Lytechinus pictus: one gene and its partner. The protein of the gene in region 2 binds, or shares a complex with, the protein of the main gene of each other region. Links are inferred from orthologs where the notes say so. Each region holds a gene or a part of one and is shown on either strand. Other genes may lie near its edges.

Evidence for each region. Proteins that work in one complex are often made in the same cells at the same time.
Region 1: retinoblastoma-like protein 1 (region 2) and histone-binding protein RBBP4 share a complex: the UniProt entries of both Caenorhabditis elegans proteins name them as parts of the DRM complex. The link is inferred for Lytechinus pictus from reciprocal best matches to the Caenorhabditis elegans genes lin-35 and lin-53.

What each region holds. Positions count from the first base shown.
Region 1 is NC_087248.1:6,917,334-6,925,166, forward strand, and holds the start of histone-binding protein RBBP4, read right to left. Parts: upstream 3,013-7,833; 5' UTR 2,880-3,012; coding exon 2,861-2,879; intron 1-2,860. UniProt on the Caenorhabditis elegans protein: Core histone-binding subunit that may target chromatin assembly factors, chromatin remodeling factors and histone deacetylases to their histone substrates in a manner that is regulated by nucleosomal DNA.
Region 2 is NC_087246.1:64,992,917-65,000,567, reverse strand, and holds the start of retinoblastoma-like protein 1, read left to right. Parts: upstream 1-4,635; 5' UTR 4,636-4,804; coding exon 4,805-4,945; intron 4,946-7,293; coding exon 7,294-7,427; intron 7,428-7,651. UniProt on the Caenorhabditis elegans protein: Key regulator of cell division which acts as a transcriptional repressor and negatively regulates cell cycle progression in its active unphosphorylated form, but allows cell cycle progression when phosphorylated.

The sequences.
Region 1 (7,833 bases), on a different chromosome or scaffold from region 2:
TTAGTTCCAATCTTACTAAACCCGTTTCACGAAGGGCTTCCTAACTAGAATCCCTTGATATCGATACTATCGGTTGAAAGAGCAGACGAGACGTAGCCTTAGTCACAAAATAGCATAATTTTTGAAAAGCAAAAATATGATAAAACTGCAACTATTGTGATTAATTTGGAAATACATATAATAAAAATAATAGCAGAGGCAAAATATGAACCATGCATACTTAAACCATGAAGACTGGAGCACTCAATTGCTGAGAAAATCAAATTATGAATAATTCATTTCATGACTAAAAAATCACATGGGGACATTGAGATGGGTATCCCCGGGATAGTAAATTTTGATAGTTTACGAAAGTAAACCACAATTGTTTTCTTTGTAAAATAATGATAATTATACGTTTATTTATGGTTCCAAACATCATCAAAATATAGTTTAACATAAATGTTTAAATTTTTACACACCGAAACACACGATTTTGACAAATTCTTTGCATAAATTAGAGATAGTATTTATCAAAAATGTTGATAAGTTTGAAAACGACGAATACGAGTCCAGTTATGGATGACCTGCCGTGGTAGAATCTTTATCGATTCAATTATTTTACTATTTCAAAATGAGTGGTTTTGTTGCGTTTTACCAACAGTTTTTATAGTTTCTGTGCATTACAACTATTATTGAATGATCTATCACACCTGTTTTGCAATGTAATTTCAACTTCTATGAATGATTACGTAAGATTACAATTTTCAAATTTTGAGGCAATTTTGCATGTCATAGTCTACCCACGTGATGTAGTCTTGAGGACGCAATGATGATGATTTTTAAAATAATGAAATATACTTCTTCATCATTGACGTCTTGACACTCTTCCCCCAGTCGCATAAGAGAAGGACCATAATAAAGATGGATTTCCCTCGGAAATCCATCTTTAGAAACAAAAATCACTTTAATTGTATTGATTTCATTAATTTTCACACCTTCCTACGCCTAATGCGTAGGAAGGTTTTAAAAATTATAACATGAAAATGTGAAAAATTTAAGGTTTCTTACCTAACTGATGCTGAGTAAACCCCTCGAACCACATGTAAACAACGTAAGTACAATAGCGTCGACCCTTGAACCGCTTATGTATGACGTACTTCTGGCTAGCGATGCCGTTCTGATGAATAATTTATAGAAAAAAAATTATTTCGCAAATGTTAAAATTTATCACGTAATTAAAAATAATTGGTATGAAACTGACAATTATTTTTAATTTACGTGATACATTTTAACATTTGCGAAATAATATTTTTTTTCTATAAATTATTCATCAGAACGGCATCGCTAGCCGGAAGTACGTCATACATAAGCGGTTCAAGGGTCGACGCTATTGTACTTACGTTGTTTACATGTGGATCGAGGGGTTTACTCAGCATCAGTTAGGTAAGAAACCTTAAATTTTTCACACTTTCATGTTATAATTTTTAAAACCTTCCTACGCATTAGGCGTAGGAAGGTGTGAAAATTAATGAAATCAATACAATTAAAGTGATTTTTGTTTCTAAAGATGGATTTCCGAGGGAAATCCATCTTTATTATGGTCCTTCTCTTATGCGACTGGGGGAAGAGTGTCAAGACGTCAATGATGAAGAAGTATATTTCATTATTTTAAAAATCATCATCATTGCGTCCTCAAGACTACACGTGATGCCACTACGTCATTAAGAAAGTAGCTATAAAAGGTTCGGAGGTGTCATAAATATTTGGTCAGGTTGTTGTCCCCGATCTTGGCAAAGAGGGCTTCGTGAAACGGTTAGCGGACAAGTAGCTCACTATCTTCGATTTAGTCAAGAAGTTAGACTTATGACGGTGTTGAGAAACGGGCCCCTGGGCTCCCGCCCGCTGCGTGGGCGGGAGTTCCCTGGGTTAGATAGCGAGCTGTCTGTGTATGAGGAGAAATTTAAAAAATAAAAAAATGTTAAAAAACTCCTCGAAACAGACGGCTGCCAGCTGTCTAAGGCTACGGGAGACAGTCTCCGATATTATTGGCCATGCGCCTAACTTGTTAGTGTTACTGCTGAGCTTCACCGCGCGCCGCCGCCGAACGCCTCCTCGGCCTCGATGAGTAGTCTCGCCACTTTCTTTCGACAGCTGCGACAGTCGTCACATGTGTAAACCAAACGTGATCGTGAACCTTCGCCTGCATGCATGCATGCAGCGCAGCGCTGGTACCGGTAAAGGTAACCCAGAGAGCTCCCGCCCGCGCAGCGGGCGGGAGCCCAGAAGCTTACCGTGTATTTTACCATTGTCACCGGACTAGGATGATTTATGGTCTAAATATTTCTCCAAATGATTTGTGAAAACGGAAAGTATACAATTACCACGATTATATGGATGAAGGTCTAACGAGTGGCAGATTCCTGACATCTGGGCACAGTCTGGAACCTCAAAAAAACGAAAAGTTCTCTCCTTCTACCCAGTCTCGATCGGCCATTTTGTTACGATTTTTAACAAAAATGGCCGATCGAGACGGGGTAGAAGGAGAGAACTTTTCGTTTTTTTGAGGTTCCAGACTGTGCCCAGATGTCAGGAATCTGCCACTCGTTAGACCTTCATCCATATAATCGTGGTAATTGTATACTTTCTGTTTTCACAATTCATTTGGAGAAATATTTAGACCATAAATCACCCTAGTCCGGTGACAATGGTAAATTACACGGTAAGCTTCTGGGCTCCCGCCCGCTGCGGGCGGGAGCTCTCTGGGTTACGGTAAAGGTAGTTTTTGAATTGGAGTGAGAATGAATGGCCCTGTATTTACGATCCTTCATCTTAGAAATCTGATGAATGAAAACAAATAAAAATAGCATAATATTCTCACCATTGTCCTTTTCAGCCATGCTTGTGGGTGTTCTTAGTGTCACAGAAACCAGGAAAGATGAAAATCAATGTACGTTTTCTGCCAAGAACAATAGATTTCCTCCCCGCCAAACATGCAAAAATGTCGCGCGGAATGGACACGGAAGTGTCAATAGAGGGCCAGAGACAGAAATCGACGGATTATCGAACTGATGCGAAATAAGAATAATCCAGGACCAGGGGAAACAATTATTTTTCAAAGTTTAGATCATTCTTTCATATTAACCTTAATATTACTTTACAAGTAAAAATAAAGATACTGAAAAAGTAACGATCGAAGTACAAAATCTGTTTGAACCGGCTGAATCGGACTGATACCGACAAAGGTGGATGGGGGGGGGGGGGCGGGCGGTGGATTGACATTAAGGCGGGAATTAAAAAAAACAAAAAACTAGTTGGCCTTTTATTTTCCCCCGGTAAAATCATCTATATGAGTAATGTGCCACCCAATCATATGGTATCTGTCATGGAATCCTTGATTTTGATTGGCTATTGAGCTTGAGACTTGCTACCATTGCAGTGGATGGAAAAGTTACCATATCAGTAACTTTAAAGGGATGGTCCAGGCTGGAAATATTTATACCTCAATGAATAGAGTAAAATTCACAAAGCAAAATGCTGACAATTTGATCAAAATCGGATAACAAATAACAAAGCTATTGAATTTTAAAGATTTGCATTATTATATGCTGTTCTAGGCATGTCTTTATGAATATTTATATTTCGGTGGGCTGATGATGTCATATCCCCACTTGTTCTTTTGTATTTTATTATATGAAATTAGGTTTATTCAAAATTTCTCTACCAAGAACTAAAACAATTGGATAGACAACTGATTAAGTGCATTAGTTATTTGTTTTTCCTCAACACATTTCATCATAATGGAGACACATCATGAAAATATGAAGAAAAAAAAAATACATTTCATGTAATAACATAAGAAAAAAAAGGAAAGTGTGATATGGATGTGACATCATCAGCCCACCTAATGAATATTCATGACGATGTGCATATAACTGTTTTCACAAAATATTGATAAACTTTAAAATTCAATAACTTCGTTATTAGATTTTGTTTTCCGGTTTTGATGAAATTTTCAGCATTTTGCATAAAGATTTTCAGCCTGGACCATCCCTTTAACAACGGGACCCAGATCCTTTATGCCCTCTCAGTCACATAGAATTTAAGGCAACAAGATCTTGTCCCGTGCTGAGTGTTGTAGATCCCAGAGGTGGGTGGCATGGTGATACACCCCGCCCCCCCCCCCCCCCATGCACCCAGTCCCATATGGAAGAACATTATAATGATTATTATATAATCATATGACAAGGATGATCGTGTGATAATGAGGGGGTAGACTATATTAAGAACATCATGATGGATGGTATCTGGTATCATCATTGACCACCATTTTTTCATCGTAATTTTCTTGATTATAGTTCTCGGAGACTAAGCGGATAGACGGAAACAAATATTTGTGACAGTGATACCCATATGCTTCGAACACAATCGGTATTCTGGGAGGGGGCGGGTACTGTCACATATATATTAGTTTATTTTCTTCTTCAATCTTCTCCTGCTTCATCTTTTTTTTATTGCAATAAGACTTTTTGTGAAGTGACGTTAGTCGGCATAATGTCAATAATTATTCTCGAGAATATGGCTGCGACGCCAAAACCAGTATCAACCCCCCCAAAAAGTCCGAAGTGCATGTTATTTCTTTTTAATTAAAATGTACGAAGTAGTTTGTTATATTTTGTAAATATTAATCAAGATCTTCTGTTGTCATTAAAAGTCAAACACGTGGAATTGGAGAAGCTGAGTAAATTCTGATCATTCGCATTATTTGTCGTGTAAATGTAAAGTGCAAATTGAGCGATCCCGGTGTAGACATTAAATGTGCAAATATATGCATCATATATGAACGTTGCAAAAATGAACCCAACATCATGTTTTCAGAAAAGTATTAGATCTAAAATGCTGTCAATCATTTCAGTTATATCGATGTAATTAACAATCACTATCGTACAAACTGTTTGCTGCTGCTGTAGAAGTATAGTAGTAGTAGTAGTAGTAGTAGTAGTAGTAGTAGTAGTAGTATAGTATATTATTATTATTAGTAGTAGTAGTATAGTAGTAGTAGTAGTAGTAGTAGTAGTAGTATAGTAGTAGTAGTAGTAGTAGTAGTAGTAGTGGTAGTAGTAGTACGTAGTAATAGTAGTAGTAGTATAGGAGTAGTAATAGTAGAATAGTAGTAGTAGTAGTAGTAGTATAGTAGTATAACATTGTTGTTGCTGTACATGACTATTTTATTGTACACAATTAATCGCCATCATTATAATCGCACCTCATGCAAAATATCATCAGAGTTGCTTTTCGCTTACACTGATATCATTGGGGTTGATGATGATGGTGGTTGTAGTGGTATATAGCGATACAGTTGTTATTTTGTTTTATTGTTGGTGGGGATTTTGGTGGTATGTTTGTGGCGGTGTATGGTTGTGGTGGTGGCGGCGATGGTGGTGTTGATGAGGTCGTGACAACGTGGTGCATGGTGATGGTGTTGGTAATGTTGGCGATACTGCATTTGTTGTTGTTGTTGGTGGTGGTGATATCACCAACGCAGAAAGACACCTCCCAGAATATACTGACTATGTATTCAGAAAGTTTTTTTTATGTTTTTAATGAAGTTCTTTCAAAAAACTTCATGAGCCGTTGACTATATGCCAATCAACATCCATTTGGATTAACCAAGCCCAAAAAAAATATGAAAGATAATAACCAGACTGCATAATATGCATTTGAAGTAAAACTCATTCTACACAGTTCGTTTTGTTTATCTTCTATCGACCAGGGCCCTGTCTTACAAAGATTTACGATTGATTGATCATCTCAATACATGGAAATCCAACAATATGTCTTTTTTTTCTCAGGAAATTTGCATGATGTCTTTGTAAACAAAGAAAAGCTCACTGAATTTTCAAGAAAACAATGAATGTATGATTTCACATCACATTTAGGAAATATTTTGTTTAAACATGCTATTTGTAAGACGGGGCCCTGGCTAGCTTGCTCGTGGATTGCAGTTTCACTAATAACTTATGGGATGTGATCGGCATGGGCAAAAATCCCGGGGATAGGGGCGGGGGACACGGGGCTGGCAATTTAAATTTTGTACATCAAGCCTGAAGTTTGTGATCTTCATCATCATCATCATAATCATCATCGTCACCACCACCACCACCATCATTATTATATTCACCACCATCATCTTTTTTATGCAGTGCTTGTTTCGCTCGCTCGCATTCGTTTCTTTAAATTTCGCCCCTTATGTCATGTCTGGCCCCTCATTACCACTGATCATCATCATCAGTACTAACCATCCGGTGTATTTTTGAAGGTTATAGAATCACCTTTCTCGTGTTTTTCTTGAGAGGCTTGAAATTATGGCCCTTGCTGTGGAAGCGGGGGTGCTGGGGTATTAACCCCCAAGATTTGTTTGGAGGGTGGTGTGTGTGTGTTTTGCTCCATAGACAGAGCACTCCTTGGAATCTGGTAGGTAAAAAGATCGAAACCTAACCAGAATCACCCACATTTTATTGTGAAACTTTTTTTTTTGGGGGGGGGAGGGGTTGTCAAATTTTTCTTCCAAACCAGCACGTACCCCTATAAAAAATAAAAATAAAACAAAGTTTTTACATTATTTACTTCATGCTGTGTATAATTCTTACTGCTTTCTTTTTATTATTTCAAATATATATAAACATCTGCAAAATAATGTACCCGCTCCTCCTTCAAATGTTCGAAATTCGACGCTCTTTATCAAATACAAAGTTTTCATTTGTTTTTCTTGTAAACACCATGCACTTACACAATCTTTCGACAAGATCTGGAACATTGGTATTGTTAATTCGAACTCATGCGCTGTCGGTTAAAATCGATCTCTTCGATCACGTGTTATAATGTGTATCGACAATATACAGCAACCAAAATGTTCCAGATCTGCCACATTGATATTGTGTTATATATTCGAGGTAAGCACCCCCTCCCTCCAGTACAAGTAATCCCAGATAAATACAGCTGGTATTGCTTGAGGATCGTGTGTGATCCCAGGCAGCATCAAAGGGAAAGCACGCAAGAACTGCTCATCTTCATCAGTTCATCGACTTGTTTAAGGTACCTATATATCTGGTAAGTGTGGAACTCTTATCTTAATCAACGTTAACATGTTAATGTACCATAGTGTAAAAATATTCTTCAGAACATTAACAAGAAATCGTAATTTTAGGTTTCGATCTTCCTTCCTTTCTTGTGTCCCAAAAATGGAAGATATCATGCTTCCCGGGTGAGAAAAAGACAAAAGAAGAATTTTATCTGTTTTTTAATTTTTTTGCGAACAGGCGAATTTTTATTTCTCAATTAATAATGAGGTTTTATTTTTCGTGTATGAACCATATTAAAAGAGATAATTCATATTACCGACGAATTTACAGTAAACTTGCCATAAGAAATTCACATCCAAGACATATTGCCAAAAAATAAAGTATACGTAATTTTGCAAATTTTCGGTTCTTTCAAAAAAGTTGTTTGCGTTATTTTTTTTTCAACACACAAAATGACATGTTTTTATTACAATTCACATTACTGGTTCCAATAAACGACCGACTCGAGCATTGATTGATACAATTAAGTGTGCATGTCGTATACCAATAGGGTATAGGAAATATGTTTTTCGGTCACTTTATATTGCATTCCAGGACACAGGTTTTAATATAACTCGTTCTTGATCATGCCTTATTTGATTACTTTAAACTGATTATCTAAAATGAATCTCGGAAAACTATGGAATTCGTTTCATTCTTACTTTATATACAAAATATTTACAAGGTTAAACTACCGCGGATATATATTTTTAAATACATTGATATATTTGAT
Region 2 (7,651 bases):
TCGGCAAAATCATGTACCAGTTGGCAAAATGGAGGATAGGGGAGAAAAAGAAAGAGGGAAAGAAAGGAAGAGAAAAAAGAAAGAAGGAGAGAGGGGGAGAGAAATAAAAAGAAAGAAAGAGAGAGAGAGGAGAGAGAGAGAGGGGGGGTGAGAGAGAGAAAGAAAGAAAGAAAGAAAGAAATAAAGAAAGAAAGAAAGAAAGAAAAAAAAAGGAAAGAAAAATAGGGGTACTAACTTCGAAGAAGGTTACGACTTTGACAACCAGTTGGCAAATCCAAGTCCATGTAGCCAGGCTTAGAGCCCTACTAGTCAGCAAAATACAAAGGACAAAACAGATGGAGCTATAATAACACACAAAGTAAGCCCCCCGGTCCTTCCCCAATATAAACAAGCTTGTGAGTTTGCAAATTATACCACAATTATTGACGATTTAACAAACACATTAGTTTTGTAAAATTAGAGGCAAGACTAGGTACATAAATATGGAGTGGGGTGAATTTTCAAGGTATAAGTTAAATAATCAAAGCCAAAGAATAGTTGGCAAATAATAAAGTGGGCCTATTAAAGTGGCAGAACACTATACGCTCTACCAGTCAGCAAAGTGATGTACAAGTACTGCCCCGTTTCTCTGAAAAGAACAGAACACAAGACTTAAAAACTGGTAACTCTGCAGTTGGCAAATTCATGAAGACAAGTCTACAACTTGTAAACTTGTCTACAAGTTTGCAGTTAGCAAAAAACACAAAAATGTTCTAAGTTATTTTTACTAAATTCTGTCGCCGAAGAATTTTGTTTAATTTATGGTGTCAGAATGTGCTTGGGGTGGGGATGGGTGGGAGTGGGGGCAGGTTTGGGTTGCATCATTCCTGGTGCTCGCATTGTATGACTAATGAGATATATAGTCCTGTTGTATTTTAAGTCCATAAAGATTATGCATCAAATTATCTCCTCGCACTTCAAGTTATTATTGTTTTATGTACTTATGCCTTTTTCATGACTATATACTTAGTGATTGCCCCCTTTTAAGGCCATAATAAAACATTTCCAGTCTGTGCTTACCTTCGCATTGGTGTGGACCGATATAGATACCGGGCTGGTAGTGGTGTTAAATCAACACTGGCGTTTTTGCAGTAGACGAATTCCTAAAGACAGTCCTTAAAATGTCCCTTTTTCTGATCTAATTATAACAAATTTTCAGCTCGCGCTTCGCGCTCGCATCACTTAATTAGTGAAATAGTAAATTCCTACAAACAAGCCATAGAATGCCCCTCTTCAGGTCCGAATTTCAAAAATTGTCAGTTCGCGCTTCTCGCCCGCAATATTTCATTAGTGAAATACGTATCATGTTCATGATTACAATGACCACAAAAAGTGCTTCATGTACCAGTGTAATTCTAACAAAATCAGCAAGCGCTTGGCGCTCGCATTAGATGACTATGATGAGATACGTACGCACTTCATAAATTGCAAAAGATCACTCCCGCATATCGAAAACTTGCATACAGTGTAGCGGACATGTAAAAACATAGCAGACGACGTTTGCAGACCTCGCGATCATCGTATGACTAGCGGTGCAGAATGTTCCATTGTGGCTTTATGGGGGAGATAGCATTACAGAGGGATAAAATGTATACACAAATAATGTTTCAGCGTTGATTCACAATATTTTGTGTCGATTTCATAAATTATTGTTGTTTGAACATTTAAAACATAATTATAAAGTGAAAGGAATAAGCACAACTTAATTTTCAGACTTACCTATGCAGTGGTAAGCTAGGATGCACCCCTCGTATACATAATTGACCCGTCACAGTTTTCAGAGACATATCCAACTTTGATTTTTGTTGGCAAAAATAACGGTATCTGATATATTTATATCTATAGTTCGGACTGACAATGTATATATATTTATACATACCTAATAAAATGTTCAGCACTGCAATGGAAAGAGCTAGAAAACCGCTGTGACTCGAACAACACACCGACGTACACAAAAACTCTGTCCAGCCCTATATGTTGAATGCACGTCGAGTGTAGGATTGCTCTTCGGACATCACTATCACAAAGAAAATCTCCTCTGATTTGATGATAAAAGTGCACTATTTCCTTATTAACCAATCTCCGTGGTTCTTTAATGAGTATTTGCCTTACAATGTGCCCTTTATTATCATCTGGGCGGAAATTCTTGATACCATCACCCACCGATGTGACGACGGATATAATCCACCCGGGTACTATAAAAATGTCCCCCAAACCCATTATCCCAATACATATTCCTGACTATGGATGGTTTTGAGTGATTTTAATGTAATAAAGTGCCACATTTCCCACCAATTGAATTTAAAAAAAATTATGGTCATCTAATAGAAGAAGTTGTTAACATTCATATCAGGGGGGCGGAAATTCTATATGAATCAACACTTGTCCTTGATACACATTTGTTTGTGAAAAAAGGGTATGATGCAAGGGAATTCTGCGTGTTATAAGGGTGCGCGCGTGCAGCGAGGACCTTCTGTCCGCTAGTTTTCCATATAGTCCTTAAAATGTCCCTTTTTAGGTTTAAGTTATACCAAAAATTTCAGCTCGCGCTTCGCGCTAGCATTGTTTGTTTTGTGAGACAGGTACATATCGTGATTACAAAACTTTACTTATAATGTCCCTTTTTAGGACTGAATATCAAACATTTTCAGCTCGCGCTTCGCACTCGCATTATTTGATCACTAAGATACGTATCCGTTTTATGGCACAGTCCTTAAAATGTCTCTATTAGGTCAGTATACCTGGCAATTGAGCGCGCTTCGCGCGCCCACTTAATGAATCAAATTTTTTGCTGGTGCCGCCCCCAATGCCGTGACCCACGGTACGCCACTGTTAGCAGTAGCACTCTTGAAATTTTAGTTGAGACATCTTGCACAGAAGGTCAATTAAAAATTAACAAATCTTTGATTTTGATATTATTAATGCATATAGGGCATTATACTGCAAGTTAGCAACTACGGCACACTAGCCTTTCTATTTTGATCCAAAATGTTTATTTTTGCAGTGCAAATATCTTTGTATATCTTTGTATAATTTACCTTAAAGTATTCACCAAATGCCACTAATTCAATTCTAAAAATTCAAAATCTTTTAGCATGTGATTATTGTGGGGGGGGGGGGCACATCCCCCATCAGACTCCCCCTGTGCTCACGTTGGCGCTGTCACGCCAAATTTAGTTGGCAAATTTAGCTGGTACACCCCCCCCCCCCCAACAAAATGCTTCTGGCTACGGCCCTGCTGGGCGTTGTGGCGTGCGCTTGTAATCCAAGCTATGTGGGGAAGTTATAAATTGATGCAGAGGTTCGAGGTTCGAGGTTCGAGCCCTGGTCACGTCTTTCGGATGGTGACGTTAAAGGTCGGTCCCAGACGTAAATAATCATATCTGATTGATACACGTCTGACAAAACTCAAATACACATGCACACGATGACTGGGGTCAGATCAGTGTCATACTGTGGGTCATGGCATGGGGCGGGCACGATCGAACAATTAACAAAAAAAAAATCGCTTCAAAATTACAGTAAAATTTTAGCCCACCAACCTGATTTCCAGAGGGTGCTTCCTCAGGTGTATAAAGGCCACCGCACACCTTACGACTGTTCGCGATCCGATTTTGGAACAAATCGCATTTTGCTCATTTTCTGAAAATGTGAATGGAACATATCATTATATTTGAGGTTAAAATTAATTGAAAGAATACTAATATAACCATTTTGAAAGATTTCAAGCCTTTATTTTGGAGTAAAGGCCAAATAAGTTTCAAATCGTAGCCAATCGTACGACTGCTATGACGTCATGACGACTAGATATTAAATTTGCTTTTGTTATAAGAAGAATGATAGCATAGTCACATATTTGGATATAGGTATTCGTACGATGATTTCGGACATTACACAGTAAGATATTCCAAGTCTCAATATTAGCATCAAATTCTACTACGTTTTATTTCAAAACTGAGTCGCAGACCAATCGTAAGGTGTGCGGTCGCCTTAACATATACCAGGAAGCTCCTTGCATATATACGCAGCAAAAAAATCTTCCCTGTCTCTTTCGGGGGCGTTTCATGAAGGGACTTGTCGGACGTTTTATCCGACAAGTTCCATTTTATCCGACAGTTACCATAGGAACAGTATCTCTCAGCCAATCAAAATCATGGAAAGATGTCAGATCTGAGAACTTGTCGGATGAAAATATTGATGAAACGCTCGATCCCCTGGTTCTCCCAAAACAAGATTTTCCGACACGATTTCATTGTTGAATATTCATGAGTTGATGCTATTGACCGGGATGCGACCGGGATTATTGATTGGCTGAAAGGAGTTAAAGGGCCAAGTGTGCATACGATTTAGGTTATTCATTACTATTAGTCCGCGGGATGCCACTTTCTCGAGGTTAAATTCTCTATTTGGGAAATTAATCCGAATTTTATATTAAAAATTCTTTATCATATGGAATTAGGATTACACAGATAGCTTAAAATTTTCATCTTGTTGTTATTCATAATAAATCTATGAGAAAAGTTCTAACTAGTTGTTTCGAGCGCGGACTGATATTGAATAATCTATGCGCAAACAGTTTCCCGCCCTTTTTAGCTTGTGATCAATTTTGCGTTGCGGGTGAACGAACCCAAATTCACTGTAGTCCCACATGCGCAATTTTGTTGCTAGGCCGATTTCATGGTGATTATCATCGCTCAACAAGGAGGTAGAATACTCGCAATTTGTTTATGAATTTATCCCAGTTTTACCATACATTAAATGAATAATGACGGACTCGCCAGAGGAGATCATTTTGACGACAAAAGACCGATTCGAAGAATTATGTATGAGTTTAAATTTGGACGACGCCACGAAGAAAACGGCTTGGGAATCATACGAGAGGATATGCGAAAATTACACGCTAGAGGTCAGTGTTTCATCAGTCATGTCAGTTGTTATTTTTGTTTTGTGTGTGTCGATATATGCGACAAAACAAATCAATTGCTTCCGACGTTCCCATTCCAGCTTAGTCCCACCAATAATAATGTTTTGCAATTTGCATGTCTCTAGCAAAAATACCGCAAAATAATAATAGGCAATAGCCAAAGCAAAATATTTTAGTTGTTTTTCAATTCTACTACTAGGCTTGACTTGAGTTAGAACTAGGCCTAGAACTAGAAGTCTACAAAAAAGTACAATGGTCTAACACTTAACAGTAACACTAACAACATGTTAACTTTGTTAGACTTAGACTCGATGACTGTTTTTGTTTGTGAGACTTTTAAATGCAATTATTGTTTGATTGTCAAATACCAAAAGGCCAAGTTATTTTGTTTAATGCTAACGTTACATTCATTAGATTGTTTTTCCATTCTAATTCTGCCAAGATGCTACTGTTTTAAGATGCAACAGCCAACACCACTATGTCCTCCAGCATCAACTCATTTAAACACGGATTAGTTTCTTTTGGTCAAGCCAACATTTTTAAATTGTCTGACATCCACGCCCGCACTGTACTTTTTTAAACTTTTAATTATGCATCAAGTGTTTACAACCGGGAGATCTACAGGATCAGGAATACCTACCCTCCCGTACAGATGATGTTTTTGTTTGTGAGAATGTTGTTCTACCTATGGCTATGTTACTTATGTAAAATGGTTGACTGACATTGATAAATCCGCTGTTTCGGATGATTTTTTCAACATTTTCTTTTTCTTTTGTCCTATTGACGGAGGGGATGCCGAGGAGCCAGACGAAGTGTCAGCAGAGCATATCCCTGACAGAAATGGGTCTATTAAACGTTTGACCTAGTACCTATTTATCGGTCTAGTTAAATCAAATGAAATGGCAACATTGATGTCATTGTGTGGACTATTGATTATCAAATAGATCTACATGTAGACAATAATGAATTATTATTTTTATTTTATTTCTAACACTTGTAGTGGTAGATCAAGACTAACCTGGAAGATATTTGCAAGTAACTTGCAAATATGCAACTTATTTGCAAAAACTGAAGAAAAAACGGAACCTAATTTATTTTTGTAATTATGATATACTGACCATAACTTATAATTTCAATTATTTTGTGAATGTGAAAAAAGAAAATATTTTGGACAGGATATGCTCTTCTGACTGAGACTCTGCCTGGCTTCATGGTAGGAGAACTGAAAAAAATAGAAGATTTCAAAAACTCTTTCGAAACAGCAGATTTTTCAGTAAATGTATGCTGTGTTTGCTGAAGACCTAATTTTAACGTTAGTGTCTGATATTTTTTGGAAAAACTAACGTCAAAGTCAGACCAAAGGTTTTAGTCTGTCTGGAATTTTTATAGCCTAAAAATATCTTTTTCCAAGTATCAATGACAAATGTTTCGTTTTTTATCAAGTATAGAATTGCAAAAAAATCAGATTTGAATGGTGATAATTGAGCCCAGTTCATGAGTATACTTTTGAAATTTGTACAATTTTCTTAGGAATATTTGCTCTATTTGTGCTGCTATTTTCCCCCTGGATTCTCTCCTACAATTTGAGTCAATAATGTTCCTGGTCTGTAAATTGTGATTTTGTCTAATAAAAAAAATGTTTACAAATAAGTTAGTTGTTACTAAAAAAAAAGACAATATTTGTCTTAGAACTATTTTCTGTCATCCATGTTTTAAAATTTTACTGAAGACATGTTTATCATAAATGACTGAGAATGATGGTCTAATATTAAAGAGGGGATATTTTTCATGTTCAAACATTGATAATGAGAAGAAAAGAAGATCTGAAAAATTGATGAATTGTCCTCATGGGGCACCTATAGGCCTACAGCTATACTGGCAGGTGATTTCATATTTTAATGTCATTACTTCATATTCTTTGGTGTTTTTTAATTATTATTTTATTTTTAGAACTTTGTTTTTCTCCTTTTACAATGATATCTACTCATGTGATTTTTACCTAATAATAAGTGAGTTAAATTGATTGAGTCTGCTTTTAAGAAAACCAACATGATAGTTGGATGAAGTCCAGTGGACGTCATGGACCTGGACATGGAGGAAGCTATCTATGTAAATTTACTGGGGGTGCCGTGGCAATGCTCAGCACCCCCAGTAACAACAGAATAATCCTCCGTGGACAGGGCCCTGGTGGACTTCCTCTTCAATATACATTTGGGCACACATTTGGCTTGCCATAGTCCAGTCGTTAATTTAACGTCCTATGTAACCTTACAAACATCTTCAGGGATCATTGTATTTTCATTCCGAATTCAAATTTATTTCTGTTACAGGGAGATAAAATCCAATGGCTTTCCTGTGCCTTGTATGTAGCATGCAGACGTAGTGTAGTACCGACTGTAAGCAATGGTACAATAGAGGGCAATGGCGTGTCTCTAACTCAACTGCTTCGCTCTGCCAAACTGAGGTAAGATGCTCTTCTAAATTCTCTAATCATCATGTCTTGTGCTGTCAGTTAAGATTCAGTATTGGTGTAAACTACATTGTACCCCCAACAAAATGGGGAAGAAAATTATATAAAAATCTGCATGTATATGTTGGAAAATAAAAAAGAGGATTACTAGGTAATAAAGTAATACACATGTATATGTTCCATTTTTAACTAGGGTTCGACTTTAATTATTTTTGAAA